Pelodiscus sinensis: one gene and its partners. The protein of the gene in region 1 purifies or fractionates together with the protein of each later gene. This does not show direct contact. Links are inferred from orthologs where the notes say so. Each region holds a gene or a part of one and is shown in the gene's direction. Other genes may lie near its edges. The genes, in order: HNRNPA1, DHX30, ACTB and NGRN.

What was found.
Region 2: the proteins of HNRNPA1 (region 1) and DHX30 purify together in Homo sapiens (affinity purification with mass spectrometry; 3 studies listed by BioGRID and IntAct, with this or other methods). This does not show direct contact. The link is inferred for Pelodiscus sinensis from reciprocal best matches to the Homo sapiens genes HNRNPA1 and DHX30.
Region 3: the proteins of HNRNPA1 (region 1) and ACTB fractionate together in Homo sapiens (co-fractionation; 3 studies listed by BioGRID and IntAct, with this or other methods). This does not show direct contact. The link is inferred for Pelodiscus sinensis from reciprocal best matches to the Homo sapiens genes HNRNPA1 and ACTB.
Region 4: the proteins of HNRNPA1 (region 1) and NGRN purify together in Homo sapiens (affinity purification with mass spectrometry; 3 studies listed by BioGRID and IntAct, counting the BioPlex papers as one, with this or other methods). This does not show direct contact. The link is inferred for Pelodiscus sinensis from reciprocal best matches to the Homo sapiens genes HNRNPA1 and NGRN.

The regions. Positions count from the first base shown.
Region 1 is NC_134729.1:1,217,387-1,225,228, forward strand, and holds the start of HNRNPA1 (heterogeneous nuclear ribonucleoprotein A1), read left to right. Parts: upstream 1-4,832; 5' UTR 4,833-4,880; coding exon 4,881-4,964; intron 4,965-5,576; coding exon 5,577-5,693; intron 5,694-6,165; coding exon 6,166-6,312; intron 6,313-7,083; coding exon 7,084-7,294; intron 7,295-7,410; coding exon 7,411-7,503; intron 7,504-7,600; coding exon 7,601-7,699; intron 7,700-7,842. UniProt on the Homo sapiens protein: Involved in the packaging of pre-mRNA into hnRNP particles, transport of poly(A) mRNA from the nucleus to the cytoplasm and modulation of splice site selection.
Region 2 is NC_134712.1:256,903,609-256,911,605, forward strand, and holds the start of DHX30 (ATP-dependent RNA helicase DHX30), read left to right. Parts: upstream 1-4,989; 5' UTR 4,990-5,013; coding exon 5,014-5,200; intron 5,201-7,997.
Region 3 is NC_134726.1:31,385,183-31,392,916, reverse strand, and holds the start of ACTB (actin, cytoplasmic 1), read left to right. Parts: upstream 1-4,727; 5' UTR 4,728-4,888; intron 4,889-7,234; 5' UTR 7,235-7,240; coding exon 7,241-7,363; intron 7,364-7,654; coding exon 7,655-7,734. UniProt on the Homo sapiens protein: Actin is a highly conserved protein that polymerizes to produce filaments that form cross-linked networks in the cytoplasm of cells.
Region 4 is NW_027466005.1:39,791-47,436, reverse strand, and holds NGRN (neugrin), read left to right. Parts: upstream 1-4,667; 5' UTR 4,668-4,732; coding exon 4,733-4,824; intron 4,825-5,893; coding exon 5,894-6,004; intron 6,005-6,105; coding exon 6,106-6,736; 3' UTR 6,737-7,144; downstream 7,145-7,646. Other genes in the region: tubulin polyglutamylase TTLL13, read left to right, coding at 649-1,024, 2,146-2,291, 3,200-3,331. UniProt on the Homo sapiens protein: Plays an essential role in mitochondrial ribosome biogenesis.

The DNA.
Region 1 (7,842 bases):
CTGCTTCAGGATATACAACTAAAAGGTCTTTAAGCACGTTGCAGGGACACAAACATTTAGTCATGTTTTAAAACAGCACTGCACAGTTATTAAAACAAGCAAATCAGCCTGCTGTTGCATTAGGAAGTGCTCAGACAGCAAGGTGCTGAGAGCCATATGAGAACTTAGGCATAAAGAAATTAAAGTTACATAAGGGTAAGCACAGGTTCCCATTACCTGGGCTAACTTAACATGTGCGTGTCAATAACTTGGTTTCCAAATATCACATTAACTGATTAAATGGGGGGGAGGGGAGGAGAGGAGAAATAAGCCCAGTATTTCAATAAGGCACATCCACTTCCACCATTAAATTCTCATTATCTTCAATTCTGAAACAGGTAAGCAGAATAGTCTCCTCAAAGGAAATGCTAAAGCACAGGATTCATTAACGAGCCGGTAACGGTTCATCGCATTTTGAAATCCTGCCTTCCTTCCAGAGAGGAAAAGGCTCTTTGTCCCTCATTAAACACACGGACAATTTTGCCACATGGACCAATTTTGGGGGCAAGGGTAAAGCAAGAATTCAGTATGAAAGTAAAGTACCTTTGATTTTTTTTTTTAAACTACTCTTGTAACTATAGAATAAAACAAAGACCCATTCAAAGTTTAGGAGTCCGCCAATAAAGATTTAAAACCACTTTGCTAGAGCATACAGAGATACAAATTCCATCTGCCCCCTCTGTTGCTACTAGCTTTGTATCTACATATGGAAGTTAATCCAGAACAAGATACAGTGTGTGAGAATTTCAAGTGAATTAATTACTTCTGATTAACTCTCTCTAGGGATACTTAGTCCAAAATAAGCATGCCTTTTTCAGGTTTAAACTAATCCAGAACAAGGCAGGTTTATTCTGGAATAAGTGCATCCAGACAGGGAGTTAAAATCAGGAGTAGTGAACCCATAGTAAACTGCAGTGATCTTGTAGTCATATTGGTCCCAGGATACCAAACAAGCAAGATGGGTGAGGCAGTATCTTTTATTGGATTAACTTCAGCTGATGAAAGACAACTGTTCAAGTATATGCAGAGCTCTTCTTCAGTTCTGGGAAAGGCATTCGGAGTGTTACAGCTAAATACAAGTGTAGAACAGGTAAGGAGTAAACATGTATTGCAAGCGGCCACTCAGGATACATCCACACTGCAGAGCTATTTCGGGATACCGGAAGTATCCCAAAATAGCTATTCCATGTCTATTGAAGCAGCCCGTTATTTCGAAATCAATTTTGAAATCACAGGCCGCTTATTCCGACGTCCTGGTAACCCTTGTTCCATGAGGGTTATGGGGCATTTTGGAATAGTGAGTTATTTTGAAATACACTCAAAATAAGCTATGCAATTTGCGTAGCGCAATTTGTGTAGCTAATTCTGAGTGAAGAGTGCTGTATAGACACACCCGCAGAGAGAAGTGAGCAACTAACTCTACTACAGTCACAGGACAAAGAAGAAACAGTGGGTTACAGATAGTTATGAGCCACTATAACTTCACATCCTGTCTTATTCCAGATTAATTTTCCCATGTGCAGACAAACCCCAGAGCCTGCTGTAGCTGCCCCACCCGTCCTACAGACGGGATGGTCCCTCATAATGACATTAGCCCACAAGGTCCAGGATGGGTCTGAAGGATAACTTGGGGGAGGGGGAGAGGAGGAGGGCTGGCTCTGGGCAGTAGCAAAGGTTGGCATCCCTATCCCACTCACAGGCAGCCTGCTCCACTCTGCCGCCATCTCCCAGTTAGCTCGCTCCACTTCACTGCAGCAGCAGGAAGTGGAGTGACTCTGGTTCCACTTCGCTGCAACAGCAGGAAATGGAGTGACTCAGCTAGGAGATGGGTAGCAGGGCAGAAGAGAAAATGCTGCTGGGTACACAGTGGGGGGGGGGGGGGGGGGACTTGACCCTTGCTGCTGCCCTATGCCAAACCCCCTGTAATCTCACAGATAGCATCACCTGGAGGCAGGGGCTTTGGGAAAGGGTTGCATTGGAGGCAAGGCAGGGACAGGGCTTGGGGAAGGGGTGGAGTAGGGGCCGGGCGGGGCAAAATGGGTTGCAGAGCAGAGTACAGTTTGTGGCCCCCCAATCAGGCAGCCATGGATGGGCAGTTACAGAGGATGGTGAAGGTAGAGAAAGGAATGAGGGTTGTTTGAGGGGAGAAAGGGCTGCCTGAGAGCTATAGATCTTTGTGTGGGAAGATGAGGAGGGCTAAAGGGGGGGGGATGTTTTCAGGGGACAGGGCAGTAGAGCTGGGGGATTGTTTGCAGGACATGGGTGGGGGGAGATAGGGGAATTGCAGGGAATCTTGGGGAGGAAGTTGAAGGAGATCCCAGGGGGGTAGTGACAAGCATAAGAGGGTGCGTGGCAGAAGATTGGGGGGAGGATATAAGATCTGTGGTGGGCAGCTGGTGGGGTGAGTTGCAGAGGATTTTTCTGAGGAAGAGATTTGCAGGGGATCCAAGAGATGGACACAGAGGATGCAGGGCATTGGAGGGAGTGCATGAGGGGAGGTTTGCAGGAGACTGGGATTAGCAGGAATTGTGGTTAGTGGGATTTATAGATATCCAGGAGGGACTGAGCAGTAGGGAACAAGATGTTGCAGAGAACCAGCTGGCTTTTAGCTCAAGCTGCTGACACACTAATCCAGAGGTCCCAGGTTCGGTTCTCACTAAAACAGCAGGCAAGTGGGGATAGGGAGAACCCCAGATGAAGGGCTGTTGACAGAGAAATGGAGGGGATCTCAGGGAAAAACAGCAGGGGAAGGGTTGAGGGGGAGCACAGGGACTATTGCAGGGAACAGAGGGGCTGAAGGACAGGACAGGGCAGGGCAGCTAGTACAAGGGGTAGGAGCAGCATGAGAAGCTCGTGGGGAGTCAGCGAGGGGGGCTGCAGGAGCAGTGAGGGGCTGACAAGGATCTGGGTGGGAAAGGGAGGAGGAGGGGCGGGGGGAGAGGGCAGCACAGGAGATGTGGCAGAGACAGAGCTGAGAAGTTTCCAGGACAAGGGAGCGCAGGAATGCGGGGCGGGAGCAGAACGAAGGATTTACAGCGGGACTGCGGGAGGCCGGGGGGGAGGCGCAGAGAGGGGATGGGGGGCACAACACGGGGGGGTTGTAGCACGGGGGCGGGGGGGGCACAGGCCGAGGAAAGGGCAGGGTGGGGGGGGCAAGGCAGAGGCACGGGGGGGAGGCAGCGGGGGGCGGGGCGATGGGGGGGCACCGCCCGCGGGGGGGGCAGGGCGGGGGATGGGGAGCGGGGGGGGCAGAGGCCGAGGGGGACGCGAGGGGGCGGGGCTCGGCTCCCCCAGCCCAGACTCGGGGGCGCGCCCCGTGTCCCAGCCGCCTCCCCCCCCCAGCCCAGAGCGGGGCGCCGATTGTCCCGCCCATCGGGAGGAAACAACCCGACACCGCGCGCCCTTTGGCCCGCCGCGCCATCAATCAACCGGGAAGGCCCCGCCCTTTCCCCCCAGGCGGCGCCCCATTGGCGCAGCCGGCTGCCACTCCCAACTCCCGCGCGACGGGCACCAGCACCCCCCACTGCCCGTCACGCGCCTCTGCCCCGCCCCCGCCCCTCCATTGGCCGGCCGAGCTGTCCGTCAGTGGCCGCGGGCCCGCCCCCTAACCCCTTTCATTCCGCACAATGAGCCCGTCTCCCCCTCCGCCCCGAGCCCAGCAGCCCGATGTCCCGGCTCAGCCGCCCCGCCGCCGCCCGGGTACCTGGGGACGAAGCGGGTCCGGCGCGGACTCCCCCCTCTCGCAGGCCCTCAGAGCCGAGGCCGCTTCTGCGCAACGCTCGCCGCCCGCCAAAATAGCCCCCCTAGCGCGCAGGCGCCTGGCTCCCCGCACGGCGCATGCGCGGCCCGTCCTCTCCCTCCCCCCGCCTCTTCGGGCGCTTGCTCCGGGTTCCGCTAGCGCATGCGCAGACGAGCACCTGTGGGCTTTAGTCCCTTTTTCCCGCAGGCTGCCAGGCAGGAGCCCGGCTCCGCACGTTCCACAGAGGCAAAGCGCGCGGGCTGGTGCTAGGGAGAAAAAGCCGCTCGCCCCCCGCCTCAATGGGAGCCGCCTCCGCCCCCACCCGAGTGATTGACACTGCCGCCATCCAGTCAAGTCCCACGTCTAGCGGCAGCAGCCAATCACTGCGCAGATTAGAGCGGGACTGTCCATGAGCGAACCAATCAGAGGCGAGCTACAGCCTCTCGCCAGTAACGCGGGAAAAGGTTGGGGGAGGGAGGAAGGGAGGGAAGGCACGCACGGCCACGTGATGCGTCAATAGGCGGGGCTTACGCAGGCTTAGCCAGTAGGCTGTAGCAGTGGGTGGGTCACGGATCTCCTCCGCCAATGAGATGTGTCGGCCTCTCGTGGCTATCCAATCGGAGGCGGGGAGGGGGTGTGCCCCGACCGCCGCCTCCAATGGGAGCGCGCGGCGGGCGGGGCTCTAAGAGGGGGCGGTGGAGTGAGGCGTCGACGCTCTCGTCATTCAGCCCTTTCTGTATCGGCGCCTCGCGGAGGAAGCATCGCACGCGCAGCACTTCTGAGGCGGAGGCCCGCGCCCGCCCGCCCCCGCCATGTCCAAGTCCGAGGTGAGCCCGGCTCCGGCCGCCATTTTCTCCGCTCCCCGCCGCCGGCGCGGCCTCCCCTGGGCCCTGCTGGGGCGCGGACCTCGCCGCGTTCGGCCGCGCCTTACGCCTTTCAGGCCTGCTCGGGCTTCCGTCCAGCCCGCGGAGGCTCCCCCCCCTTCTGCGCCTGCGCCGCCTCAGCCTTCGCGCCTGCGCTTTACCCCCCTTCCCAGGTGGGCGGCCCTTCGGCGCCTGTGTGGTGGGGATATGGGGGGGGGGAGTGAGCCTCCCGCGCTCCCATGTGCGCGTGCGCGCCCGCCTTTGTGCAGAGCCGGAGGAGCGCCATGGCGGCCGGGCGAGCGCGTGGCGGGCCTCGCGTGCGCGTGCGTGGCGGCTCCCGCGCGCCAGGGCTGCAAGCCCTCTAGGGGGGAGGGGGGGTTGGTGTGCACGGGGGGGGCCCTCTGCGGGGGGAGGGGGAGGGGGGGTTGGTGTGCACGGGGGGGGCCCTCTGCGGGGGGAGGGGGAGGGGGGGTTGGTGTGCACGGGGGGGGCCCTCTGCGGGGGGAGGGGGAGGGGGGGGTTGGTGTGCACGGGGGGGGCCCTCTGCGGGGGGAGGGGGAGGGGGGGTTGGTGTGCACGGGGGGGGCCCTCTGCGGGGGGAGGGGTTGGTGTGCACGGGGGGGGCCCTCTGCGGGGGGAGGGGTTGGTGTGCACGGGGGGGGCCCTCTGCGGGGGGAGGGGGAGGGGGGGTTGGTGTGCAGGGGGGGGCCCTCTGCGGGGGGAGGGGGGTGGGGGGGTTGGTGTGCAGGGGGGGGCCCTCTGCGGGGGGAGGGGGTGGGGGGGTTGGTGTGCACGGGGGGGCCCTCTGGGGGGGGGAGGGTAGCCTGTAAGTCATTGTGCAATCTCTTGCTCTGGGCATCTCCTGGGGAGGGGGGAGCAGGGGACGGGCCCTGTTGGCTGCTCCTTCCTGACTCGTTTTTGTGCCTCTTCCCCAGTCCCCCAAGGAACCTGAGCAGCTGCGCAAGCTCTTCATCGGCGGCCTGAGCTTTGAGACCACAGACGAGAGCCTGCGGGGCCACTTCGAGCAATGGGGCACGCTGACAGACTGCGTGGTGAGTGCCTGGCCCAGAGCATCCTCTGGGTGTTAGATAATAACATTCAGATGTGGGGGAAGGACTCTGATTGCATGGCCCGGCTGCCTTTTTTTTTTTTTTTTTTTTTTTTTTGATGCCACGGGAAGAGCTGAATAATTTGTTTTTACTGACATCTGTAAACTACTGTTCCAGGGGAGTAAGGGGTCTAACGGCAAATTTAGGGTTAGACGGAATCCTGCAGAGGAATGGCCATGCTGTCCAGTAGCCTCTGTCTTCCAAGGGTGGCTGGTATCAAATGCAGTTTTAGAGGGAATGAGCAGAACAGGGAAATTACCAAATGATCCATGAGGTCCCAGCTTTGGGCAGAGGGAAAGTTGTAGGGCAAAGCTAGTGCTAAATAACTTTAGATGTTCCTTTGTTCTCGTCTTTATGCCACCTGTTTGATTCGTGTTATTTACTGTGGTTACTAATGGAGGTGTGTCCTTTCTAGGTAATGAGAGATCCAAATACCAAGCGCTCCAGGGGCTTTGGGTTTGTTACGTACTCTACGGTTGAAGAGGTTGATGCCGCCATGAATGCTAGACCACACAAAGTTGATGGCAGAGTTGTTGAACCAAAGAGGGCTGTATCCAGAGAGGTATGAATGAATGTTTAGTCTAACCATGCTGTTTTCATAGCCTGAAATTGGCTCACTGTTAGGATGAACTGATCCAGTGGGGCTCTGTAGGGAGGAGTTGAGGTTAAAGTGACCATAGTTTGGCTATAACCCAGGGGTTAAACTGAGGTGGGTCGTTTCCATTCTCTTTGTGGTTTGGGGAAAGCAGTACCCTGCTTACATTAATCGTGCTGTCTGTAACTGCCAATGCTGCGTTTCCTTGCTGTGCTGTCTACCAGAATATGTACTTAAAGCAGGACCACATTAGTAGTTACTACAGGTTGGACCTCCCTTGTCCGGTACCATTGGGACCCGACTGATCCCAGATGAGGGATTTTTCACAGGTCATTTCTGGCCCCCTGCTGTCTCCCCCACCCCCACCCCCTCGCTTTTTTCACAGCTCAGCTGGCTCCCACACCAGCTTTTGCCCTGCCTCTTCTCTCTCTCTCTCTCTTCCCCCCCCCCCCTTCCCTCGGCCAGGCTCCTGGACCCCCCACAGTGTGCCAGGACTGGGACATCTTGGAACATCTGTGGCCCGGAAGGGTTAGGGTTAAACCATTCTGGTTTATAGAGATGCATCCTGTACAAGTAATTGTAAATGGGGACCAGTTTAATTTGTGGTGGACACGTATCACGATTTTGCATTGTCTCTGTCTTTGAGCAATGGGACTGTTGCATTTCGAACCACTGTTTATGGAGCTCTAAAATTGTACATCTCAGATAATGCTTGAGCTTGCCCTCTGTCCTGTCTAGGATTCTCAGAGGCCTGGTGCTCACCTGACAGTGAAGAAAATCTTCGTGGGGGGAATTAAGGAAGACACAGAGGAACACCACCTGCGAGACTACTTTGAACAGTACGGCAAAATCGAAGTGATTGAGATCATGACAGACCGTGGGAGCGGCAAGAAGAGGGGCTTTGCATTTGTCACCTTTGATGACCACGACTCTGTGGACAAGATTGTTAGTAAGTTCTCTGCACAGCTCTGTGAACTGTAAAGATTGTATAGCATTGGAAGGGGACCCGTCCTGGGTTTCAAATCAGGACACGGTGACAGTTAACGTCTAATTCTTCCCTTCCAGTTCAGAAGTATCACACTGTGAACGGCCACAACTGCGAAGTGAGGAAAGCCCTGTCAAAGCAAGAAATGGCCAGTGCATCATCCAGTCAACGAGGTGAGTGCCAGTTTCCCATCCATTGCTTTGGAACTCATCCAAACCGACCTTTGGCAATATGAGCCGTGCTGCTAACAGGCGCTGCTCTCTTCTTTAGGCCGCAGTGGCTCTGGGAACTTCAGTGGTGGTGGCGGCCGTGGAGGTGGATTTGGTGGCAATGACAACTTCAACCGTGGCAGCAACTTCAGTGGTCGTGGTAAGGGACTTTATGGGGTCCTTTTGATTCAAGTTCTACGGATATGGTCAGGCTAACAAAACTCCAGTTTCGGCCCCTAGGTTAACCCAAATGGCTGCTGCAGTTTTGGCTATGGATATTTTTTTAACTTGATTTGGGCACTG
Region 2 (7,997 bases), on another chromosome or scaffold:
AAGAACCCCATACTAAAATACTGTATTTAATCTCAATGGGACTTTCAGTGTCTAAAATGTGAATAACTAGAAATCAGTAGCACTTGTCATCCTGCAAATTTCCAAAGTTTTTACAAACTTGAACTAATATTTAGAGGGAATACTTCCCCCAATCTCTGAATGTAACATTAGTGATAGAAATGTAGCTGTTTTACAGAGTACAACTTTATTCAGCAATTTAAGACAGCACATAATAGATACTATAGCCAAGCAGAATGCAATCATTCAGACTGGAATTTGGTCAACCTTCAGCTGTATTCTTCATCTAATATATAGTTAATATCAGAAAAGTTAGTGGAGGCTTGGACATTTCGGAGAGGAATATAAATTCTAACTTCCTGTCTCTCCATCCTCTTGCTTTCCTAGGAATCAGATCTTTTCACTTTGACAGAGATGTTCTCGCTGAATTCATGTAGAAAAGGTAAGGACTGGTTGATTTGGGGAATGCGCTCATCTCTCACCATTAATTTTTCTTGACTGATCAGCTATAGCACTAGATCTCTGGACAAAGATATCCAGTTCATAAATAATTTTACCATTCTTTTCTATGCTGAATGATATGACAGGTGTGCCATACTGCCTTGCAGTGTGAGTTATTTCTCATTCATTTTAGTGTTTGTGCCACCAATACATGCTTACATGTGCTACAAAGAAAAAGGAAGGATGTTTGAGAAAATTAGTAGCCACATTGGAAGTTATGTATTACATAGGAAAACAGAATTAGGTCCTATGTCACTCCTTTTAACTGCAAGGGGAGCTTCACATCCAAGGGTAAAATTTGTGTCTGCTTGTAAAAGTAAATGTTTCCAAACCATAATAGTTTGGTATCTAGTACTTATGCAGCAGTGTAAATCATTTTTTAGCTGGGACAGCTGTCTGAACAAGTATTAATGTCACAAGTACCTGTACTTATATTAAGTAACACAGTGAGAGATACATTTCAGGGAAATACAGAAACTGGAGATGGAAAAGAATTTTTATGTTCTCCAGTCCATCCCCCCTGACAATGCAGGGTTGTTCCCTACAGTGTGTTACTTAATTTTTCATCCAGTTTAGTTCTAATTAGTTTGCATTTTTCCTTTTAAATTTCATCCTTTGTACTTTCTGCGGTGTTAACATAATTCAAATATGTCAGCTGTTATGTCCCCTTTTGTCATTGTTCAGCCATACTGTTGATTTAGCTCTTTCTAGTCTATCATAAGTCAGTCCCTCTAGTCACTGGTCATTTTTTGTTGCTTATTTTGAATATCCTTCAGTTACTCAATCTTAAAATGAGCTACTCAGAACTCAATCCATTATTCCCGGTAAGGTTGTATCAGACATGTACAACATAGTGAGGGTCTATTACCTCCCTGCTCTGGGAAGAAATGCCTCGGATTCATTGTTTTGGTGGCATAACGTTTCATTAGCCATTCTTGTTTCAATGTCAAGCTTAAAAAAAAAAAGCGCATCAGTAGTCATGAATTCTATAATTAAAACAAATTAATGATATTTGACATTTGTATTTCAGTGGGAAACTCTTGAGATGCCAAGTAAAAATCTAGGCTGAATGGGAGGCTGAAGGAGAGCATCACCTCATGAGGGCTAGTGGTTTGTCATGGCTGGACTGGGGTAGGGACTTCATGGATTCTGTGACACTACTAGTCTTTGGGGAAAGTCTTGAAGCTGGCAGAGCTGGATAAGAAGTTTCTGTACAAAGCTGCCAACCCCTTTGCAAAAGCTCATGTAGGAGAGAAGAAGGAGCAGCAGCAGCTCGCTGCTTTGAGTCTGAACTGACAAGCAGCAGGATAGTGGTGTTAAACTACTAGTTAAATGCTGTTAAACGCTTTTCATTGCAAAATAAAGGACATTTTGGTTGAAATATTGTATCCTGTGACTGCTGGCATTTTTTCCATAAATCGATTCTTGCCTTTTTTCTGTGACCAGAATTATTGTCTAATTTACCGTGACAAACCACTAGCCCTGTTATTTATATCTAATTTTCTGAACACTCTCTCCCTTTTATTTTCTGCATCACTGTTTCTCCTCCCATTGAATGTGTTTCCTATAGTCCTCCCCCAGATGTACAACTACATTTTTTCATTATTGTATTCTCCACCGACGGTTCTCATTTCTTTAGGGCTCTATTATTTCTGCATCCACGAGTGTGGATCACTCAAAACAACTTAGTATCATCTGTAATTTTCCTTAAATGTGGTGGCTCTCAATGCGAGGTTCAAGGCCCGCTGGGAGTAGGTTTGAGGGGAGTGCTCAAACAGGACCAGCTTTAGATTCGCTGAGGCTCAGGGCAGAAGGTAGAAGCCTTGCCACATGGGCTGCGTCTAGATTGGCATGATTTTCTGGAAATGCTTTTAACGGAAAAGTTTTCCGTTAAAAGCATTTTCGGAACAGAACGTCTAGATTGGCACGGACGCTTTTCCGCAAAAGCACTTTTTGCGGAAAAGCATCCCTACCAATCTAGACGCGCTTTTCCGCAAAAAAGCCCCGATCGCCATTTTCGCGATAGGGGCTTTTTTGCAGAAAACAAATCTGAGCTGTCTACACTGGCCCTTTTGCGCAAAAGGGACTTTTGCCCGAACGGGAGCAGAATAGTATTTCCGCAAGAAGCACTGATTTCTTACAGTAGGAAGTCAGTGCTTTTGCGGAAATTCAAGCGGCCAGTGTAGACAGCTGGCAAGTTTTTCCAGAAAAGCGGCTGATTTTCCGGAAAAACTGGCCAGTCTAGACAGCCTTGGGGTTGTAGCCTGGGCCATTGGCTCTGCCACCCAGGGCTGAAGCCTGAGCAATGTACCTTTGTGGGGCCCCAGGCAATTGTCCTAATGCCAGTCCTGGCTTTTATAGGTGCTGGTGGGCTGTGCGGTTTTTGTAGCATGTTGGGGAGGGCTCTGAAAGAAAAAGGTTGAGAACCCCTGCTTTAATGGATATCCTACTCCTTCAAGATCACAATGAAGATTTTCAATAAATAAACTGGATACCTCAGCATTTAACATTAATCCCCTTTCTACATACACATGCTTTTTATTTTCCCCAGAAGTTTTACTTCTGCTGAATTATACTAGTTAAACTGATTTGAAATAATTTTTCAAGATAGAGTTCATGGGGTTTAGTATAACATCTACCAGATTTTTTAATTGGTGAATTTGTCTGGCTATATTTGGTGTGTAGGAATTGATGCTATGTACTGCTTATGGTTATCATACTCTAGTTGTACTTTTCTCAGTATTTGTTGAATTCTTTTACTGGGGATAGAAGTTAGACTTTTAGGAAAACAAACAGCCAGGATGGCTTTAGTATTTGTGTTTGAAAGTCTGTTCTGCATTTTTTTTAGTGCCTCTCTTGTTGCCTGATTTTTTCAGAAATATTTATTATTGGTAGAATGTTAGTTAATTGGCTTAATATCCTAAGATGCACATCTGCTGAGTCAAGTAATTTAGTGTGTGCTCAAAACTTCCAAATACACTTGTTCTTTTGTTAAGTTTTTTTTATATGTGGTTTTCCTTGCTAACGTAACCATTCAGATATCTTTTAGCTCCCTGCGAAGATATACTTGTTGAAAGTCTTACTTCCCTTAATGATTTTTTACATATTAGCTAATGTATAATCTTGGTTTGCAAGCAAAGTATTTACTGATTAATGAATGACAATTTAACATATAAACAATTCACTACTGTAAATAGGCACTTGCAATTTAATTGTAGCCCAAAGTGTTAGATTTCATGTATATTCAAATATTTTGATAATTTACAAATTCTGATGGGGGGAAGGATTAAAACATCCCTGCAGCGACAGGGTACTTGACATCCACATGTTACAGTATTAAGAAACTTATGCTGAAAATATTTAATTGTTAAAATTGAGCAAACATTTTTTTCAAAGTGAGAAAAATACAGACTGTGACCAACCTAAATAATAACTTTTTAATTTTCAAATGTTAGTATTGAAGGTGTTAGTAAAATAATGAAGTTTGATTACAACTGCAGAAGTGAAGTATGGTCGATATATAATTTAAAAAAAATTACTTTCAGATACTAAACCTGCTTGGGAACTTTCCTGCTGATTGGTATAGTTCTTGGAGTCAGATATTTCTGCTTGCTTGCTTTTGGCTAGTCGTTTTTAAAATTTGGCCTCACTGGTGATAATATACACAGAGTGGCATGAAATACCAAGAAAATTGCAAATGCATTTTTTGTCTTCTAGTTTCAAAGTTATCAGAAGTGATTTTTTTTTTAAAGTTGGCAGTGTCCCTTTAACATGTATTTTAAAAGAGAGTAGCCGGAAGTTGAAATTTTTGGGTACCATATGCAGCACCACTAACTTTTTCTCTTTATGAACAAGTTTCTCATAAACCTCGGTGTGGGTCGGTTTCCTCATTTGTAAAAAGTGCGTGATGCTGACCTACCTAAGGGGTTGTTTTGAGGCTCACGTAGTATTCAGAATATATCCTCTTACATGTTGAAATAGCTTACTCTCTCTTGTGTTGCTTCTGACTGATCTGCATGCGATCCAGAGATAAAACAAAGAGTTGGTTTCCTATCCAGGGTCACTCAAGGGGAGCGGATGCTAAATGAGATTCCTACAATGTCTGATGTGGATATGAAATAAAAATGGGGAGGAGGATTGTTCTATTTCATTACTGGCCTACCTGGCAGTTCTCTCTTAAGCCTCAGAACAGGTGTGGGCAGGGTCAGTGCAGGCTTGTTCCTCAGCTGCGGGGTGGGCAGGGATCTCTTGCTTTCTCAGCCTGTTCCTCCACCTTTTTAATGCAGCGGGGGAGGGGCGGGCGATGCCCCCGGCCAGCAGGGCCTGGCGCGCGCATGGGTCCCGCAGGGGCGCGGGCAGGTGCGGCGCTGTTGCTCCTCCGGGCCTGCAGTGCGCCGCCCCGCGCGCTAGGGGCCGCTGCGCGCGGCCGGGTTCCCTCCGCCCGCCTCGTTGCCCCTGCCCGGCCTGAAGCCGGCGGTGGGCGGCCTCGGCAAGATGGCGGCGCCCAGGCGGCTCCTGCTGGCGCTGGTGAGCGGCGCTTCCGGGCCGCGGCGCTGCCGCCGCTACCGCCGGGCGGAGCCGGCAGCGGGCGGCGCCACGCGGGGCCTGTGCGCGGGCGGGCCGCTGAGCGAGGCCGCGGCCGGGGCGGAAGAGGAGCCGGACGTCGGCGCCATGGTGAAGGGTGAGCTCGGGAGGCGCTGGGGCCGAGCCCTGTGGCGGGGGGGGCGCCCCTCTCTCCAGCCGGGGGGCAGCGCGCGCGAGCCCCGGCGGGCCGGGCCCAGCCCTCGCGGTCTCCGCAGCGGGGCCCGGGGAGCGACCTGCGGGGCCAGCGGGCGATTAGGCCTCGTCCCTCGCCGGCCGCTCGCTTTGGCGGGGACGGGGCTTTGTGCGGCCCCAGCGCCTCTCCCGACACGTGCGCGAAGCTGCCGGTGCGGGGAGGCGAGCCCGCGTGGGGCCCAGGGGGCGGCGGGTCCCGAAGCGGCTCTGGAGGGAACACGAGCCGCTTCCTGGACGTGAATCTCTCCGTGTTCTGGACGCGCCTCGGCCCCCGATTGGCAAACAGGGTGAATGGGATGCTCGGGGCAGCGGTGAAGGGCTCCGCGTCCTTTCACCTCAAGGTCACGCGTTTGAAACGGGTCGTGAGTGAAAGCCTTTGTGTCTCCCGGCCTTCTGGTTTAGCCTGTGTGGAATGAAAATATCCTAATAAATAGCCCTTTCCCTGGCACCTCGGCACAGGGGGATCAGCTGAACAGGCTGCGGAGAGGAAACATCACCTCCTCGCTCTCCTAGCAGTATAGAGAACTGGCATGGTGTACCTCGATGTTCCTGCCACTGCTCATACTGGTTTTGTTCTGAGGACTGATGGGTTGTCCAAACCAAACGAAACGTGGAAGTGAGCTAGATGTTAAGAAATCTTATTGCCCGTGAATTCCCATGCGCAGGGCTTGACAAACTATAGAATCTACTCGCCCATGGTGAGTAGATGTCAGCCGCACACCCCATTTACCGGAGGCTCTTGTGCATGCACAGTGCGGGACTGGCGAGTGGCTTTTGCCGCCGTTTGTCAAGCCCTGCCCATGTGTTACAGTTTTCATAAATTACATGTGGGAAGCTGCATATCTTCCTTCAGTGTATAGTATAAGAGCATAAGAACGGCCAGACTGGGTCAGCCCAAAGGTCCAACTAGCCCAGTGTCTTGTCTGCCTACAGTGGCCAATACCAGATGCCCGAGAGGGAGGGATCACAGCAGGGAATCCTCACGTGATCCCTCCCCTGTCACCCACCTCTAGAAAAACAGGCTAAGGACACCATTCCTATCCATCCTGGTTAATAGCCATTGATGGACGTAACCTCCATGAATCTGTCTAGCTCTTTTTTGAACCCTGTTAAAGTTCTAGCCATTACCGCATCCTCTGGCAAGGAGTTCCACAGGTTGACTGTGCGCTGAGTGAAGAGAAACTTCCTTTTGTTTGTTTTAAACCTGCTGCCCATTAATTTCATTTGGTGATCCCTAGTTCGTTCTTATATTGTGAGAATAAGTAAATAACTTTTCCTTATTCACTTTTTTCACACCATTTTATAGGCCTCTAACGTATCCCCCCTTAGTCTCCTCTTTTCTGAGCTGAAAAGTCCAAGTCTTTTTAATCTCTCTTCATACGGGACCCGTTCCAAACCCCTCATCATTTTTGTTGCCTTTTCTTGAACCTTTTCCAATGCCAGACACTCACTTCAATTTATTTTCTTCTTAATATCCTTATCCCATTCAGGGTTGACTTATGCACTTAAAATCTCACACTTTGTAAAAAGTTTTTACAACTTTCAAGTATCAAAACCTCACAATCTTATAAAAAGGTTTTGTATCTTTCAAGGAGGTTTGTAAATATGATTGTAAACCATGGCACAGACATAACATTAAGCTGATATAATGTGCACGGATGCTTGGTGTGGTATAATGCCAAAGGCTGAGAGCCTTCCTCTACCCAAAAAGTGTACTGGAAGGGTTATTGCTGTCATATGACTGCTTTACATGTACATTCCATTTTAAAAAAAGACAGTGTGCCTTTTAGATTTATATCTGTGGGTTTCTACTTTGCAAATTCTTACAAAAGGGACAAGAAAAACCAGCAGGGAAAATGTTTTATAAATACCTCTTACTGCAAATAATTTTAAAAATCTTCTTTGTCTCTAATTGGCCACTTAATTTTCTTTTCCTTTTAAGAGAACAACCAGCTTTCCTTTTGGTCGACTGTGGCATATACAGGCAGTCCCCGACTTATGCGGATCCGACTTATGTCGGATCCGCACTTACGAACAGGGCTTTTCTCGCCCCGGAGCTCACGGGCGGCGGGTCGCCACCTGTGTCCTCCCGGGTGAGAAAAGCTTCTCCCAGTCTCCCTGGTCTGCTGGGGGGGTCCAGCGGCTTTGCTGGGCCCCCCCAGCAGACCAGGGGGACAGGAGCAAAGCCGCGGAGCACGCCCGCAGCGGGACAGCCCGGGCATGCTTGAGCTGTCCCCCTGCGGGCATGCTCCGTGGCTTTGCTCCCCGTCTTCCGACCAGGGAGATGGGGAGCAAAACCTCGGAGCACGCCCGCAGTGGGACAGCCGCGGCGCGCTTGGGCTGTCCCGCTGCTGGCGTGCTCCAAGGCTTTGCTCTCCGTCTCCCTGGTCTGACCAGCAGACCAGGGAGATGGGGAGCAAAGCCTCGGAGCACACCAGCAGTGGGACAGCTGCGGCGTGCCTGGACTGTCCCGCTGCCCGCGTGCTCTGCTGCTTTGCTCCGCGTCTCCCAGGTCAGCAGACCAGGGCGACGGAGCAAAGCCGTGGAGGACTTGGGCGGTCCCGCCACCCTGGTCTGCTGGGGGGGGGGTGCAGCTAGTGCCCCCCCCAGCAACCAGGCTTTTCTTGCCTACCCCTGGGGTAGAGCAGCTTGGGGCTGCCGGGTTGGTCCCGCAGCGCCGCTCCAGACCAACCAGGCAGCAC
Region 3 (7,734 bases), on another chromosome or scaffold:
TGCTATCTGCCTGTGATCAGCAGCCTTTGTAAAGAATCCACTTTGTATTCAGGAGTCTTGAACTCTGACTTCTGTCTGCCTCAAAGGAAACGACAGAAGCCAAGCTGCTAGCTACTTGTTATGGGCCCAACTTTGTGGTCCTTGTGTAGCCAAATTTCCCATTGCGTAAAAAGGTTTGAAGGTTCAAGGGTTTTGTTATTGTTTTCCCAGTGGTTCCAAGTAGCTTTCTGATTTGCTCCAATATTCCTGGAATTTAGATGAGTCTCTTTGGCCAGTACGTCTCCTTCCTTAGTTTAAAAGGATCCCACTTTCATCTGCCATCCATCCCATCACACTTCACCATCTCTGCACCAGTCCCCAAAGACAAGGGAACTTGATGAAGTTCTTTTACAGTGCTGCTGAATCGATACACTTCTTATCTAAGGATTCTTTCACTCGCCTCTCATGAATCCTGATGTTTCTAGTGCCTCGTTAACATTTATCTCCGAGCCCCTTGCTCCTTTCATCCTCCCTGACTGTGAACTGCAACAAAGCAGATGTTGACCATGTCAGCCTCCTTCAGGGTTCCTGTTATTGGAGGTCCCTGTTACTTTTCCCCAATGCATTGAAGAGCTTGTCTGGTCAACTCTCCCATGTAACCTTTCCCCTTGCCTCATTTTATCCATTGGCAGACATCACACATCCAGGCCTTGGATCATCTCCTATTTGACAAATAATCTTCATCTTAACATCCCCCATGCAGCCTTTTCAAAGCAGTGCCTCAATTAATTACTCTCCTCGCAGGTGGGTAATTAACCAATTAGCTCCATTTTACTGATGAGGAAGTTGAGATGCAGACAGATTAAGGGACTTGACCAAGGTTACAGATAAAGTTAATGGCAGAGTCAGGATTTGCACTCAGGAGTGCCCAGTTCCCAGATTTCTATGCTCTTTCTCCTTTCCACCCATCCTTAAGGAAAACCCTGAGGTTTCTCAGTATCCTTTATTTCATTCCTTACAGCTGGACAGTTTTGGCAAGGTGCTTTTACACTTACCAGGCTGTATTCTTATGTTCGTAAGAGGTGGCGCAGGGTAGGTTTGTAAGAACATTATCATTGGAAGCTGAGTGACTCTTTGCATGTGGATATGGTCACAGTATTGTCTAAAAGCCCATTCATAGTGGTCCATTGTATCCCATGGATTTCCTGTCATAGCGTAGTTAACAGAGCACATTCATAGTGTAATATGAGAACCCTCCCCTGGGTGTGGTCGGCAGACTAATGGGGCATACTCATGTTCTTTCAGGAAGGTTCTTTGTACCATCTGGGTTCTCCTGAACAGGGCACACACGGTGTGAACCTTCAGACCCTGACAAAGTTAGTACAGACCTAGGGAGCCCTCTCACTGCTTACATGGTAATGACACAAAGTGCCAAATTTTGCGCTCAGTTACAGCAGCGTACATATGTAGGCACTCCGTGGCCGGTACTGGAATGACTCTGGATTTGCACCAGTGAAGCTGAGGGCAGAGTCTGGTCCAACTTTTCTACATAGCCGCGTGACTCGAGCTAGCGCAGAGTTTGGAAAAGAGCATCCAGCACATGGTAGAGACAGGATGCGCCTTTCACAGCTATGACATAAAGATACCCTCAAGTTAACCTCCACCTTCCTCCTGCCCACGGTAAGAGAGGTCCAATGGCTTCTGGTGGCAGTAGCAGCAGTTTTCCTGGTGTTACATGGAAACTCCCCTCTCCAACTTGGCCCTAAGAAAAGGACCCCCCCATAAATAAGGGGCTCCCAAGCAGTGAGAGTCTGGGGAGCATATTACCCATTTACCTGGAACCCGAGTTTGCTTACTATTTTCTCCTCACTGTGCCACCCTTGACTCAAGCTAGAAATCACTTGAGGCTTGAACTCACCAACAATACAATCCTGCATTGGCACCACAGGCTGCTCTCTGGGCACCTCAGCCCTAAGCCCCAGGAAGAAGAAAGGAACCAAGGACCTCCCCGACTCCTCTGAGAATCCTGCAAAATGCTGGCCCCGTTCCAGGCGACTGCTGGATGCAGACCCTCTGCATGGGGGTGAATTAAAAACCATAGAACATAGGAAAGCAATAGGAACAAGAGCTGGGCGCAATCCGTAAATGGGTTGTTATATCCTTATATCCACCCCGAAGGTAACTGCAGAGCTCTGTTTTGAGGCAGTTTACACCGCTTCCCCTGTGCTTTCTTCCCTCCTTTGTTCCACATGGCAGGGCACAGATACCAGGATACAGCTGAGATAATGTACTTAATCTCCGCAAAAAAACTCAGCATGCAGGAGCAACATTAAATGACCAGAACAGCGATTCCCTTTAAGGCCTCCTGTTAATGGAATGAAGGACTAGTCAGTCCTGCTCATCTTTACTCAGGTAGACTTTATCCACCTGAGCAATCTCCTTGATTTCCCTGTGACAAAGAGCTTTCAAGGAACAGGCTGCAAAATTGTCACAGCTCCCCTTTCCATGACATGGCACCCTATCACCCTCATTGTCCCCCTGCATCTGCACCTCACCTAAGTATATCATCAGGGCTAGCTTCTTTGGGGCATTCCTGCTTAAAGGTACCAGTCGGAGGCATCTGATGAAAAACACACGTTGTTAGCATTTTCCAGGGGACTTTGTGTTTTAAACCACTTGCTGGTATTCAATCTGAAAGGACCTACATTTAAGTAATTAAAACTGAAAGTTTATACAGCGCGTTGAAGAGGCAAAGTGCTATGTGATTGCCAGGTATTGTATCGGTTATGATGGCCTAGCCTTTATTCTGAAATGTTTCCTCATAAGAATGAAACCCAGAATTGCGGAAACACAAGACAGTGAGGAAAGTTCACACAAAGACATGTTTCGCTTGGCACCATACAGCTAAATGGAAAAGGAACAAGAACTACCACTTGCATGCAGTTGGGTGGATACAGGCCTCCATCTGCAGAGAGCTCATGCCAGGATCAAGGCCTAAGACAACAACTACTAAGCATTACTCAGACTAGTTCTTCACTCTTAACTTAGGTTGGTATAATGATGTTGTTTGAGGGTATGAAAAATCCACACCCAAGTGGCATTGTAATAGAGACTAAGCACCTGGTGTAGACACGGCTACATGGACAGAAAGGCTTCTCCCAATGACATTAACGATTGTCTCTCATGCAGATGGATGAATGACGCAGACTGAAGAAGCTCTCTTGTTAATGTCGTACCTTCTTCGCTGAAGCATATCCGGGGGGCAGATTCACCCTTGCAGCATTTTACATGTAGACCTGCCCACCAGTGGGTGGGATTCACAAAGGTATTTAGGTGTCTAACGGTGACACAGAACAGGCAGATCAGGTGCTGGTATCACGTCAGGTGGATTGGTAAGTTACTGTAATAGTCCTTGGGTGAGCTAAAGGGCCACTTTCACTCATGTGGCCTCAAGAGCAGCTCCATTGTCCCCGCTGCCTTGTGGGACAGTGGGGCAGGAACATTTTCAAAAGTGGGGGTGCTGAGCCCCCTTGACTCTGTCTGCCTCTACCATCCAGCTGAGACAGAGAGTAAAGCCCCGAGCCGGGAGGGTCGGGAGCTGGGTTCCCAGCTGCTACCCCATACGCCAGGGGCTTTGCTGCCCCTGGAACGCGAGACTCTAACTGACACCCCAGCACATGGGGCTGGCAGCAGAGGCCTTGGTGTGCGGGTGAAAACCTGGTGCATGGAGCGGCAGGAGCTAGGCCTGGAGCCTGTTCCCACATCTATGAATGGATTGAATTTGCCCCATAACTTCAATTTTAAATGGGACTCTGTTCTGAAGGATGATTATTTGCCTGGTGCCAAAGGCACATTAATAGTCCAGTGAATGGACAATAGGGTCTGCTTTCCCTTGGCCCTATGGCCCAAGAGGTATACCCCCACTACAGGGCTTCCTTAGCGGCTGCAACCATCTGTCTGCCATGCCCTTTCTCAGCCTGGGGTGTACGGGATATGCCAGGGGCAGGAACGTTGCTGCTGAGTCTGCTCTAATTTCACTGGGGGAACAGGAAGACCCCTTGCACATCCCCACAATAAGCCACCTTTGCCTTTAACCCCTTCCTGCACTGAGCGGGCCTCAGCCAGTCCAGGGGAGTGGCTCTAAACATCCCTGTCCAGAAGACCTTATACTGTAGTCAAAGGGCCAGTGGCAGGTAGCACCAACACCAAGCATTTCTTCCAGGAGCCAGCCCTCCGCTCTGCAGCGTTTGCAGGGTCAAACTCCTCTTTTCCGCTGACGTGCCAAGCAGGGGAGGTTGTTTGAAGGGGATGTCTCGGGGGCCACCGGGCACCACACGACCCAGCAGGCTACGCTGGGTCCAGGATGGCCAATGTAGGGACACAGTCAGACCCCAGGCCTGGCGAATCACAACGGCGTGGGCCCCTCAAAACAGCAGGGAGCCCTTTCCCCCAGCAAAGCAGGTGGTGCCTGGGCAGGACAGCCAGGCAGCCTCCGCATGCACGTTGTGTTATGACTCCTGCCTGCATTGCTAGGCACTGAGCTACAGCTCACGCCTGCAAAAGGAGCAGACTGGGTACAGCACCCACTGGCAGCCGGGAGCGCCCTCCCCCACCCCGCCTGCTTCTCTCTTTTTTTTTTTTTTTTATTACAAGAGGAGGAAAAAAAAAACTGCTGCAATGTGCAAAGCGCTTCGGGAGAGGGAGCGCGAACGGGCCAATCAGAAGGGCTAGCTTCGAAAGTTGCCTTTTATGGCTCGGGCTCTACCGCTCTGGCCCCATAAAACCCGGCTCGCACGGCGAGCTTCGGTCGCTCCGAGCTTTTTGCGCGCGTGCCTGTTCCCCCAGCAAGCCGGCTGAGCCGCCGCTTTTTTTTTTTCCACCCAAGGTTTAAAGTTGCAACTTCCCCAAGGTAAGTGCAAAGGGGCAGGAGCCTCCTCTGAAGAGCCCTTTTCCTGGGGGGGCAGGCAGGGCGGGCTGGATTTGGACGGGCCCCCTTTTTAGAGGGAAATGCCTGGGGTTTACTAACAAGCCCCCCAAAGTGGCTGAGTTTTGATGGCTTCCCATTCAATTGATCCCGGATCAATTCTGCTGGCGCTTAATGTTGGCGGCCGTAGGGGAAAGTCACTGGGGGGCTGGGGTGGGGGTTCTTTTTTTTTTTTTTTCTTCTTCTTTTTTTAAATATTGGTTGTTGCTCTTCTGGCGAGTCGCCTTTATTTCTGCTCCTTGCAAAGCCTGACGTGCCCCAAGCAGCAAGCACGTGCCTGGCTGCGCGTTGGTGGGGTGAGCGGTGGGTTTGCGCTTCCTGGCCCCACTAGCCTGGCGAGGGGCGGGTGGGTGGGGTGGCGTTTGCCCCAAGTTAACCTTGAGTTGGTGGGCGCCGGGAAAGGTCTCCCCTGTTGCAGCGGTGCTGCGTTCTGGGGCTGTAATCGGGCTTGCGGGTCTGTGCCTAAGAGGATTTGTGGTTGGAGTAGAAGGTGAATTGAGGGGGGAGGAGGAAGAGTGGTTTAAAGCTAATCGTCTTCCTTTGCATGGTTTAAAGAAGCTAGAGGCGATGGGTTTGGCGGAGGAGTGAGGCTGCCCAAAGGGGGCTTGGGAGTGAGCATCTCTTCCCCCACTTGAAAGGGGGCTAGAAGAAAGCTGGAGGAAGGGGGGTGTTAGCAGCGGCTCTGAAGCTCTGGTAGGGTGTGACTCCACAATTGGTGCTTCCGGTGGCAGAAGCCGGTACTTCTATTGTATTAGCTCAGCACATGCTGGGTAAGGGTGGGGGAGGTGGAGGGAGGATCCTCCCTGCAGAAGGGTGGGGGGAGACATGAATCAGTCTCTTGGCCCAGAGGCTAAAGGAGGTGGGAGGCAGAGGGTCTCTTTGTCTTGTTGAAGACACAGGGGATGCTGCTGAGAGGTCTGCCTCTTCCCCCCCATCCTATAGGGCAGTTGCTCTGGACACCCCCCCAACCCCCCCCAAAAAATACCCACATCAAGGACCTACATTGTCCTGCATTTTGCTTCAACTACCCAAGACTAACACGGCTACATTTCTATCACTATTCCACATCAAGGAACACTGCAGGCTCCTCTCTGGATTCCTGAGGGGCATTGTCCCTAGTGTCTGGGAAGGGGTGGGGTCCAGGTTGGCTAGTGTCTGTAGCCTTGGCACAGAATAGCTCTTGGTGTTTCTGCTTGAAGTAGGGTGAAGAAATGTACCCCCCCTTATTGCTGGCTTGGCTTAAAGAAAAAGGAACTCACTCCAGCCAAGCCTCTTTGCCCCAGACAGTGAGGTGTAGGAACTAAATTTCCCAGAATAAGCTTGCTAGGATGTCGGGATAGGCACAGGTGGGGGGTGGTCCTGACCCTCCAGTGAGCCCATGGATTTGCTGGTGCTGGTGCTGCCCTTCCTGAGTGTGACAATTGCATAACACTCTTAATTCTCTCTGGCATTGGCCATTTTCATCTGTCACTCTGTGTTAAATGGCTTTGAGGCTTAGCTGGTGGGGAGCCTGCAATTAAACTTGGCCAGCTAATTAAATAAAGATATAGATCAAGCAGGCTTCTTTCTGATGAAACCTACTGACCCATTTCTAAATGCCTCTGGGATAATTAATGCAACTGCTTGTAGGTCTGGTATAAGTCAGAGCCAGGGTATTAAGCAAGGTGGTTTCCCAGGAGAAACTGTTTCTCTGCAGCGGGGTGTGGCGGGTAACTTCTCCTTTTTTAAAACTCTTTCAGTGTTGTCCTGTTAACTCTGCTTCAGACACCCTAGTGCTAGACCCAGGCACACTCCCTCTGTCTGACAGGGAGTGGCCACAGCCATATGCTTCATTTGAAAAGGGAGGGGAGTGGCTTGTCTCTTTAATCAGCCCTCCCAAAGCTGGCTCCATGCCCCATTACTGGCTTCTTGCAGAGCTTGCTCTAACCATTGCCTTTTATGGTAATAATATGAGCCTCGAGCAGGGACTTCCTTTGTCCCAAATCTGTGCAAAGGCAAAATATGTAGAGCTCTGCACCCTCTAGTGGCTGAAAGGGAGAAGTCCAGCTCACAAACAGGAAGCTAGAAAGGAAATGGGTGGGGAAGGCAGCCCCCTCAGCTTGCTCACAAGCAAAAGGCTTGGCTTACCCTTTCCGGATGGGGGTTTCCTCGCAAACTGCACTGCACTCACAGCAATTACAGGCTCTTCCAGGAATCTTGGGGCGGGGAGACTTGCAAGGAAGCGAGACCTCTATTTCCTGGCTAACCACGCTTGCTCCCTTTACTTTACAGTTCGCCATGGATGATGATATTGCTGCGCTCGTCGTTGATAATGGCTCCGGTATGTGCAAAGCCGGTTTTGCTGGGGATGATGCCCCTCGTGCTGTCTTTCCATCCATCGTCGGTCGCCCCAGACATCAGGTATGTAATGAATGGCATCTTGCCTGTATTGTCTGATAATTCAGAGGCAGAAGAGAACAGGGCATAGTGTGTATAAGATACTGGGGACCTGTTAGCTGTGCAGGAGGAGTGAAAAGCTTGGCTTGTCTGCCAGGGAAAGTTCTCTGTAGCAGTGGCCTGGTTTAAGTCCATTCTATAATGCTTTAGCAAAACACTCTTAAAGCAGTCCTACGTTTAGTCAGCCAGTGGGTTGGTATCTTGAGTATTAGAGGCAATTAAAGTTGATTTCCCTTCAACTCTCCTCTTCCACAGGGTGTGATGGTTGGTATGGGCCAGAAAGACAGCTACGTTGGTGACGAAGCCCAGAGTAAAAGAGGTATCCTGACCCTGAA
Region 4 (7,646 bases), on another chromosome or scaffold:
GCTGGACAATGCTGGCTGCGGGCACTCCCTGGGCCCCGGAGAGCCCACAGGCAGGGCTGCAGTGAACTCAGGCGCTTCCCAGCCTGTTCCAGGGGGAGCAGCCCCAGTCGGCGAGAAACTTGCTGGGCTGCGCGGGCCAGCCGGAGGCTCCCCAGGCCGCTGGAAGCCAAGCAGCCTGCTCCCCTTAACTCCAGGCGGGAGGGGAGCCAGCCGTCCGGGATTCGCTGCCTCCGTCTGTCGGGCTGAGCCAACACCCGGCCTTGTGCTGGGGATGGGGAGATTGCTCAGGGCTCAGCTCCCCTCCTGTCCGCCATGTGCTGGCAGGGTACACGCTTCAGGAGAGGGTCAGAGCAGCCCAGCCTGCTGGGGGGGGGTGGCTGGCCCTGGCCCTGGCCCTGGCCCTGGAAAGGGGCTTTGCTTTGGCAGACGTGCAGCGCAAGGGGCAGTGCCGGCCGGGTCAGTAGCAATAAGGTACGAGGAACAGGCTGGGAACCGCGGCAGCACAAGTCTCTGTGGCTTGAGGGCTGCGCTGGCTCGGGCCGTGCTCGGGCGGGGGCTGGGAGAGGTTGTGGCTGGGGGGGCAGGTCACACCAGACACTCCCGACCCCCCAGGAAGAGGAACACAAGTTGCCTTTTCTTTCCCGCCAGCCCCGGTTCCTCCAGGACGTGTTTGGGAGCCGGGAGACGCAGCGACTAATGACCCTGGTGCCCCTCTCGCTGCAGGGAAGCACGGTGCGCGACCTAGGCCAGCAGATCATGCAGCAGCCGGCGGCCAGGGCCCAGATGCTGGGCAGCCAGGGCTTCATTCCCAGCCTGCTGGGCACCAGGTCGGGCATGGGCCAGAGCCTCCCCTACCGCGTGCAGCACAGGGCGCAGCTCAGCCACGGCCTGCAGCCGCAGAACGCCAGCTGGCTGGGGAGCCAGGCCCTGGGCACAGCAGTGGCCGCCGAGCGCTGCACTCTGGCCAAGGTGCCGAAGGAGGGAGGCCGGAGATTCTCCAGCGCCAGGAACAAGGTGGAAGGCTGTGAGTACGACACGGGGGGTCGGCCTGCTGCTGGGCCGTGCAAAGCAGCCTCATGCAGGCCCTGGGCCCCAGGACCTGCTGCCTTCCAGGCCTCTGGGGCCCCCCCAGGTATGGCCTGGTTACCAAGCCCCTGGCATCCTCTGGCACAGCTAGCGAGATGGCCGAAGGGGTCTGTCTCCTGCCTCCCACCGAGATTTCCAAGGTCTGGGTGCCACGGGTCAGTGTGCCTTAGGGCTGGGGCCAGTCCTCAAATCCCCCAGAGGGGCCAGCGGGCACCCTCCTCTAGCAGGGCTCCCGGCCCCTCTGGCTGGCTGGCTCTCTCCCCCCGTGTCCTCCGGCCCCACCTGCTGCCCCGGGCAATTTAACACCCCCACGCTGCAGTGCAACGGGGCTCGAGCAGCTTCCGACTCCCCGTGGGCCAGGGCAGGTGGGTGCAGAGCCGTCCCCTCACGCGGGTTGGCCCGCGGGCCTGAGCAAACGGGGGCCAGCAGCAGGGGTGGGACCGCTGCACTCACGGTGACGGGGGGAGCCACACAGCAGCCGTGTCCCAAGACAGGCCTCGCCAGGCCTGGGGCGCTCTGCTTCCCGTCACCCCGGAATGGGACTCGCGGGCCAGCAGCCGGGCCTGGGCCGGGAGCTGGAGAGCCCTGCCCTGCTCTCCTCCTCAGGGCTCCGGCAGGGCGCTAGAGCTCAGAGACCCCGGGAGTCCCGGGGCGACGGGTCCTCCCCTGCCACTGCCCGTAGGCCCAGAGCTGGAGCCCAGCCCGCGTGGGAAGGGGGAAGGCAGCAGCCGTGATAGCGTCCGAGGAGAAGGGGGAGAGGGCTGGGGGAGGCCCGGGCTTGCCAAAGTGCCCCTTCCCACAGCGATGGCCAGTGAGACAGGCCATACCCAGTGTGTTCCCGGCCAGACTCCTGAGGGGGCACACTCAGCCCTGCACCGTGCCACGCTGGCCTGCCTGCTGCGCTCAGGGCTGGCAGGAGAGGCGTGGGGGGCAGGGTGTTTATCACCCAGGGTGCGTGGCCATGTCGCCAGGCGGGCTCCAAGCCAGCCCCAAGGGGCATCCTTGGTGTCCCTCCTGCTGCTCTAGCCCTGCCTTGTCCCTTCTGTGCTCTCCTTTCAGATGGCACCTTCCCCACGGTGCCCGACCCTGAGCCGCGCTGCAGTCCACGAGCTAGCCATCAACTCTGCCTCAGCGCCCATCGTGCAGCGCGCCCACGCCCCGCCCCGGGCCAACGCCATGTCCATCCTCAGCTTCCACCACCACAGGTATGGCCCGAGCTGCCCCCCGCAGCTCTGCCCCGGTGTCCCGGCCGGCTTCCAGGTAGGGGACGTTCTTCACCTCCCTGCCTGCCAAACGCCTCTCGTGGAGGGCTGCCATCAGCAGGCACGTCCCCACGCCAGCCCGGGCTGCCTGTTGGAGCCATGGCCCGTAGGCGTCGCGAAAACACCGCCAGCTGGCTGAAGGCCATTGGGAATGAGACCCTGCTGGTGTTTTCGCCAGGCCCTGGGGTCCTGCTCCACGAGTCGCACTGCTGGAATCTGCCCAGAGCGCCTCCCTTTGGCTTCAGCAAAGCTCAGGCACATGCCAGTCCCGCAGCCAGGCAGGGGCATAGCCGGCTCTGGCACTGGTACATGCGAGCGAGCCGCACCCTGGAGTGCTGCTGGCTGGGGCCGTGTGCGTGGAGGAGGGGTCTGACCCCAGGGTTGCTTGTCTGTCTCTGACTGGCTGAGGCGGAATCGCTGCGGGAGAATTGTCACTCTCCCTGGCCAGAGCATGGTCCCTGCTCGCAGGAGCAGGGTAGAATTCCGGGGGACCCCTCTGGAAGAAGGGTGTTTCCATCTCAGGGGCTTTCCCGCCATGCTGGCCAAAGGTCCGGCGAGTCGGGAGACTGGGGCCGAGCAAACAGCTGGCGTGAGAGGCCCCGGGTGTGGGGAATTGGTGGGTACCCTGCCCTCTGCTCACAGCAGCCACCTCCAGCAGCGTGGACAGAGCCCAGCAGCCCTGTGGACCACGCAAGAAGCTGACAGGCGCTCTGGGCCCTGTCGTTTCCTCATTCCCAGCTGTTCACCTGAGCTGTGGAGGGGAGGCTATGGGTTCTTTGCCGGCCAGCTCCTATCTGTGTCTGTCCCCAAGCAAACCCGTGTCTCATCGGCGGTCGCTTGCCTCTCCCCAGGAATTGGACCTGAGCCTCAGCCAGACCATCTCTGGGACGAAAGGGACCAAGGGCCTCGGGACTCCGACAGCCAAAGGCCATGGCTGTGCCAAAACCAGGCTTTCTTCTGCACAAAGGGAGAACCCCTCCTAGGGCCAGGCAGACGAGGGAGTCGGGACCCCAGGCCTGCTGCGGTGACTGGCGACTAGTGACGAGGAGCTGCTTGGAGTCACGGTGCCGGCGGACAGAGCTGTGTGCACACGGTGCTTCCTCCTGCCAGCCGACCTTCACCCGCGAGCTGCAGCCTCCCTCGCACACCTGCTGCCCGGCCACAGGGCTGCGCGACTCTGTTCCTTTGTATTGGGCTTAGGAAAGTTTTATAGTTTTACAGTCGCCTGTCAGTCTGTCCTGCCCGGGAGGGACCGATTCCTCGGGGCACAGCAAGTCACAGGGCGGACGAGCGCCAGGCTCCGGCCGGAGCCACTCGGACCAAACGCCAGGCGACGCCCCGGCCAGCAGGCAAGTGGAGGGTCGGACCCTGCTCTCGACAGAGCCTCCGGCCGGCCAGCACCAGCGCTCGCCTCCTGCGGACACGGGTGGGGAACAGGCCCCGCCCACCCCCTGCACCTGCCCGCTCCGCAGCCCCACCCCCCGCAGCGCCCTGCCCACCCCCTGCACCTGTCCGCTCCGCAGCCCCACCCCCCGCAGCGCCCCGCCCACCCCCTGCACCTGCCCGCTCCGCAGCCCCGCCCCCCGCAGCGCCCCGCCCACCCCCTGCACCTGCCCGCTCCGCAGCCCCGCCCCCCGCAGCGCCCCGCCCACCCCCTGCACCTGCCCGCTCCGCAGCCCCGCCCCCCGCAGCGCCCCGCCCACCCGCTGCACCTGCCCGCTCCGCAGCCCCGCCCATCCCCTGCACCTGCCCGCTCCGCAGCCCCACCCCCCGCAGCGCCCTGCCCACCCCCTGCACCTGCCCGCTCCGCAGCCCCGCCCCCCGCAGCGCCCCGCCCACCCCCTGCACCTGCCCGCTCCGCAGCCCCGCCCCCCGCAGCGCCCCGCCCACCCCCTGCACCTGCCCGCTCCGCAGCCCCGCCCCCCGCAGCGCCCCGCCCACCCGCTGCACCTGCCCGCTCCGCAGCCCCGCCCCCCGCAGCGCCCCGCCCACCCGCTGCACCTGCCTGCTCCGCAGCCCCGCCCCCCGCAGCGCCCCACCCATCCCCTGCACCTGCCCGCTCCGCAGCCCCGCCCCCCGCAGCGCCCCGCCCACCCCCTGCACCTGCCTGCTCCGCAGCCCCGCCCCCCGCAGCGCCCCGCCCATCCCCGGCACCTGCCCGCTCCGCAGCCCCGCCCATCCCCTGCACCTGTCCGCTCCGCAGCCCCGCCCCCCGCAGCGCCCCGCCCACCCCCTGCACCTGCCTGCTCTGCAGCCCCGCCCCCCGGCCTCGTTCTCGGAACCGCCCCGCCCATCCCCGGAACCTGCCTGCTCCACAGCCCCGCCCCCCGGCCTCGTTCTCGTTCTCGCAACCGCCCCGCCCACTGGCTGCTGCTGGGCTGCGCATGGCGGCGCCGCGAGGGCTGCGGGCCGCGGGCCTGACCCGCCTGCTGGGCCGGGGAGCCGCGGGGCCGGGGGACCCCGAGGAGCTGGAGAGGTGGGGGGGCTGGGGGACAGGGGGCGGGGCTGGCGGAACGGGGGGGGCTGGGGGACAGGGGGCGGGGCTGGCGGAACGGGGGGGCTGGCGGACAGGGGGGGCTGGGGGACAGGGGGCGGGGCTGGCGGAACGGGGGGGGCTGGGGGACAGGGGGCGGGGCTGGCGGAACGGGGGGGCTGGCGGACAGGGGGGGCTGGGGGACAGGGGGCGGGGCTGGCGGAACGGGGGGGGCTGGGGGACAGGGGGCGGGGCTGGCGGAACGGGGGGGCTGGGGGACAGGGGGCGGGGCTGGCGGAACGGGGGGGCTGGCGGAACGGGGGGGCTGGGGGACAGGGGGCGGGGCTGGCGGAACGGGGGGGCTGGGGGACAGGGAGAGGGGCTGGCTGAACGGGGGGGATCTGGGGGACAGGGCAGGAGGGGCTGGCGGAACGGGGGGGCTGGGGGACGGGGCGGGGCTGGCGGAACGGGGGGGCTGGGGGACAGGGAGACGGGCTGGCGGAACGGGGGGGATCTGGGGGACAGGGCAGGAGGGGCTGGCGGAACGGGGGGGCTGGGGGACAGGGCAGGAGGGGCTGGCGGAACGGGGGGGCTGGGGGACGGGGGGCGGGGCTGGCGGAACGGGGGGCTGGGGGACAGGGGGCGGGGCTGGCGGAACGGGGGGGCTGGGGGACAGGGCAGGAGGGGCTGGCGGAACGGGGGGGATCTGGGGGACAGGGCAGGAGGGGCTGGCGGAACGGGGGGGATCTGGGGGACAGGGCAGGAGGGGCTGGCGGAACGGGGGGGGCTGGGGGACAGGGCAGGAGGGGCTGGCGGAACGGGGAGGCTGGGGGACAGGGCAGGAGGGGCTGGCGGAACGGGGGGGCTGGGGGACAGGGGGCGGGGCTGGCGGAACGGGGGGATCTGGGGGACAGGGCAGGAGGGGCTGGCGGAACGGGGGGGCTGGGGGACAGGGCAGGAGGGGCTGGCGGAACGGGGGGGCTGGGGGACAGGGGACAGGGGGACAGGGCGGTGGGCTGGGGCAGGGTGGGGGTCCTGGGCGCACTCAGCCCCTCTGTCCTCCTCCCCCCAGGGCGCTGCAGCGGCAGAGGACGGCGGTGCGGCTGAGGAGGCTGCGGAGGGAGCTGGAGCCCACGGGCCCGCCCCCACGCAGCCTGACTTGGCAGGCGATGGAGCAGATCCGGTGAGCAGGCCATGCTGGCCGGTGACCCTGGGCCGAGCGCCCGGGGCTGGGGGCTGTGTGGCTGGGCCTGCCTGACGGCCTGGCGCTTGCTCTCCCGGCAGGTCCCTGCGGCAGGCCTTCCCCGAGGAGTGGCCCGTGGCCCGGCTGGCCCAGGGCTTCAGTGTGAGCCCTGATGTCATCCAGAGGGTGCTGAGGAGCACGTTCTGCCCCTCGCCGGAGCGCCGGGCGAAGCAGGATGCAAAGGTGCTGGGTCCAGAGGGGAGCCCAGACCCCACAGCTCAGCTGGTGGCCAAGTCTGCAGGCGAAGGCGCTCAGCAGCTCCTGCCAGCCGGGCCCAAGGACGCCTCCCTGTGCAGAGCCCCCCCCGCGCCTGGGGGCCAGTCCAGCCGCTCCCAGCCACAGAGGAAGGGGCAGAGCAGCAGGAGCTCCCGGCTGGTGCCTCTTCAGGCGGATGGAGCCAGGCGTGAGGCCGCCAGCAGGAGCGGCTCCTTGGCGGCGGGAGCCACGGCGCGGTGGGACGGTGAGGTGCGGAGCGAGGAAGAGCTGGAGGAGCTGGCTGCAGAAGGCTGGGACGCCGACGCAGAAGTGGTGCGGAGAGGCCAGGAATACTTCGACAGCCATGGGCATTTCCTGTACAGGGTCCCTTCGAGGCTGGCGCATGGAGAGGGAGGGGGGCACAGGCAGCCCTTGGCCCAGGCTGATGCCGAGGCTGGCAAGGAAAGGCAGGAGTAGGGGCGGGTGGGCCTCTGACTGTCCTCCCTGGGCCGGCCGGCTGGACTCTCTCTGGGCATGGTGGAGATGTCTTTGTAGGGACGTGGCACTTGCTGTGCCGGGCCTGGCCTGCCGTGCATGGCGGGGACTTACACCGGCAGCCTGGCTCAGGCTCCGGCCATGCTGCCATCGTCCTGGGCGGGCCGAGAGCTTGCCTGGAATTGCAGGGGAGCGCTGGGCAGGTGGGTAGGAGGGACCAGTGGGGTGGGAAGGCCGGGCCAAGCTGAGGTGCAAAGGGCCGGGACTCCCCAGAGCTGGTCTGTGCTGTGGGTCTCTGGGCGGGGAGAGAGGGTCTCTGCTTGGGCCAAGCTAGGTTCTCAGGCCCGTTCCTTTGGGGGCTGTGCAAAGAAAATAAAAGGTTACAAAGTCCTAGCTGTCTCGGCTGAGCCTGCCCTGGGGGTGCTGCTTCTGTCCCTTTGCTGCCCCGCCTCTGGCACCCTCCTGCCCCAGCCAAGGCCACCTGGCTGTGCAGCGGGTGCGTTACTCTGGGGCGCTGAGCCTTCAGGCCTCAGGGAGCAGCTCTGCAGCTGGCTGGGCAGGCTGGTTCAGACTCCATCTTCCTGTACCCGGCAGAACGTACGCTGGGAAGGGGGATGCAGCGGGGAGCCGGTGGGCTCTGCGCCGGGATGGGGGGGAGCTGGTAGGCTGTGCGCTGGGAAGGGGGGTGCGCCGGGGGAGCCGGTGGGCTGTGTGCCGGGATGGGGGGGAGCTGGTAGGCTGTGCGCTGGGAAGGGGGGTGCGCCGGGGGAGCCGGTGGGCTGTGTGCCGGGATGGGGGGGGCGGAGCAGGGGGAGCCGGTGGGCTGTGTGCCGGGAAGGGGGGCGCCGGGGGAGCCGGTGGGTTGTGCGCCGGGAAGGGGGGAAGCCGGTGG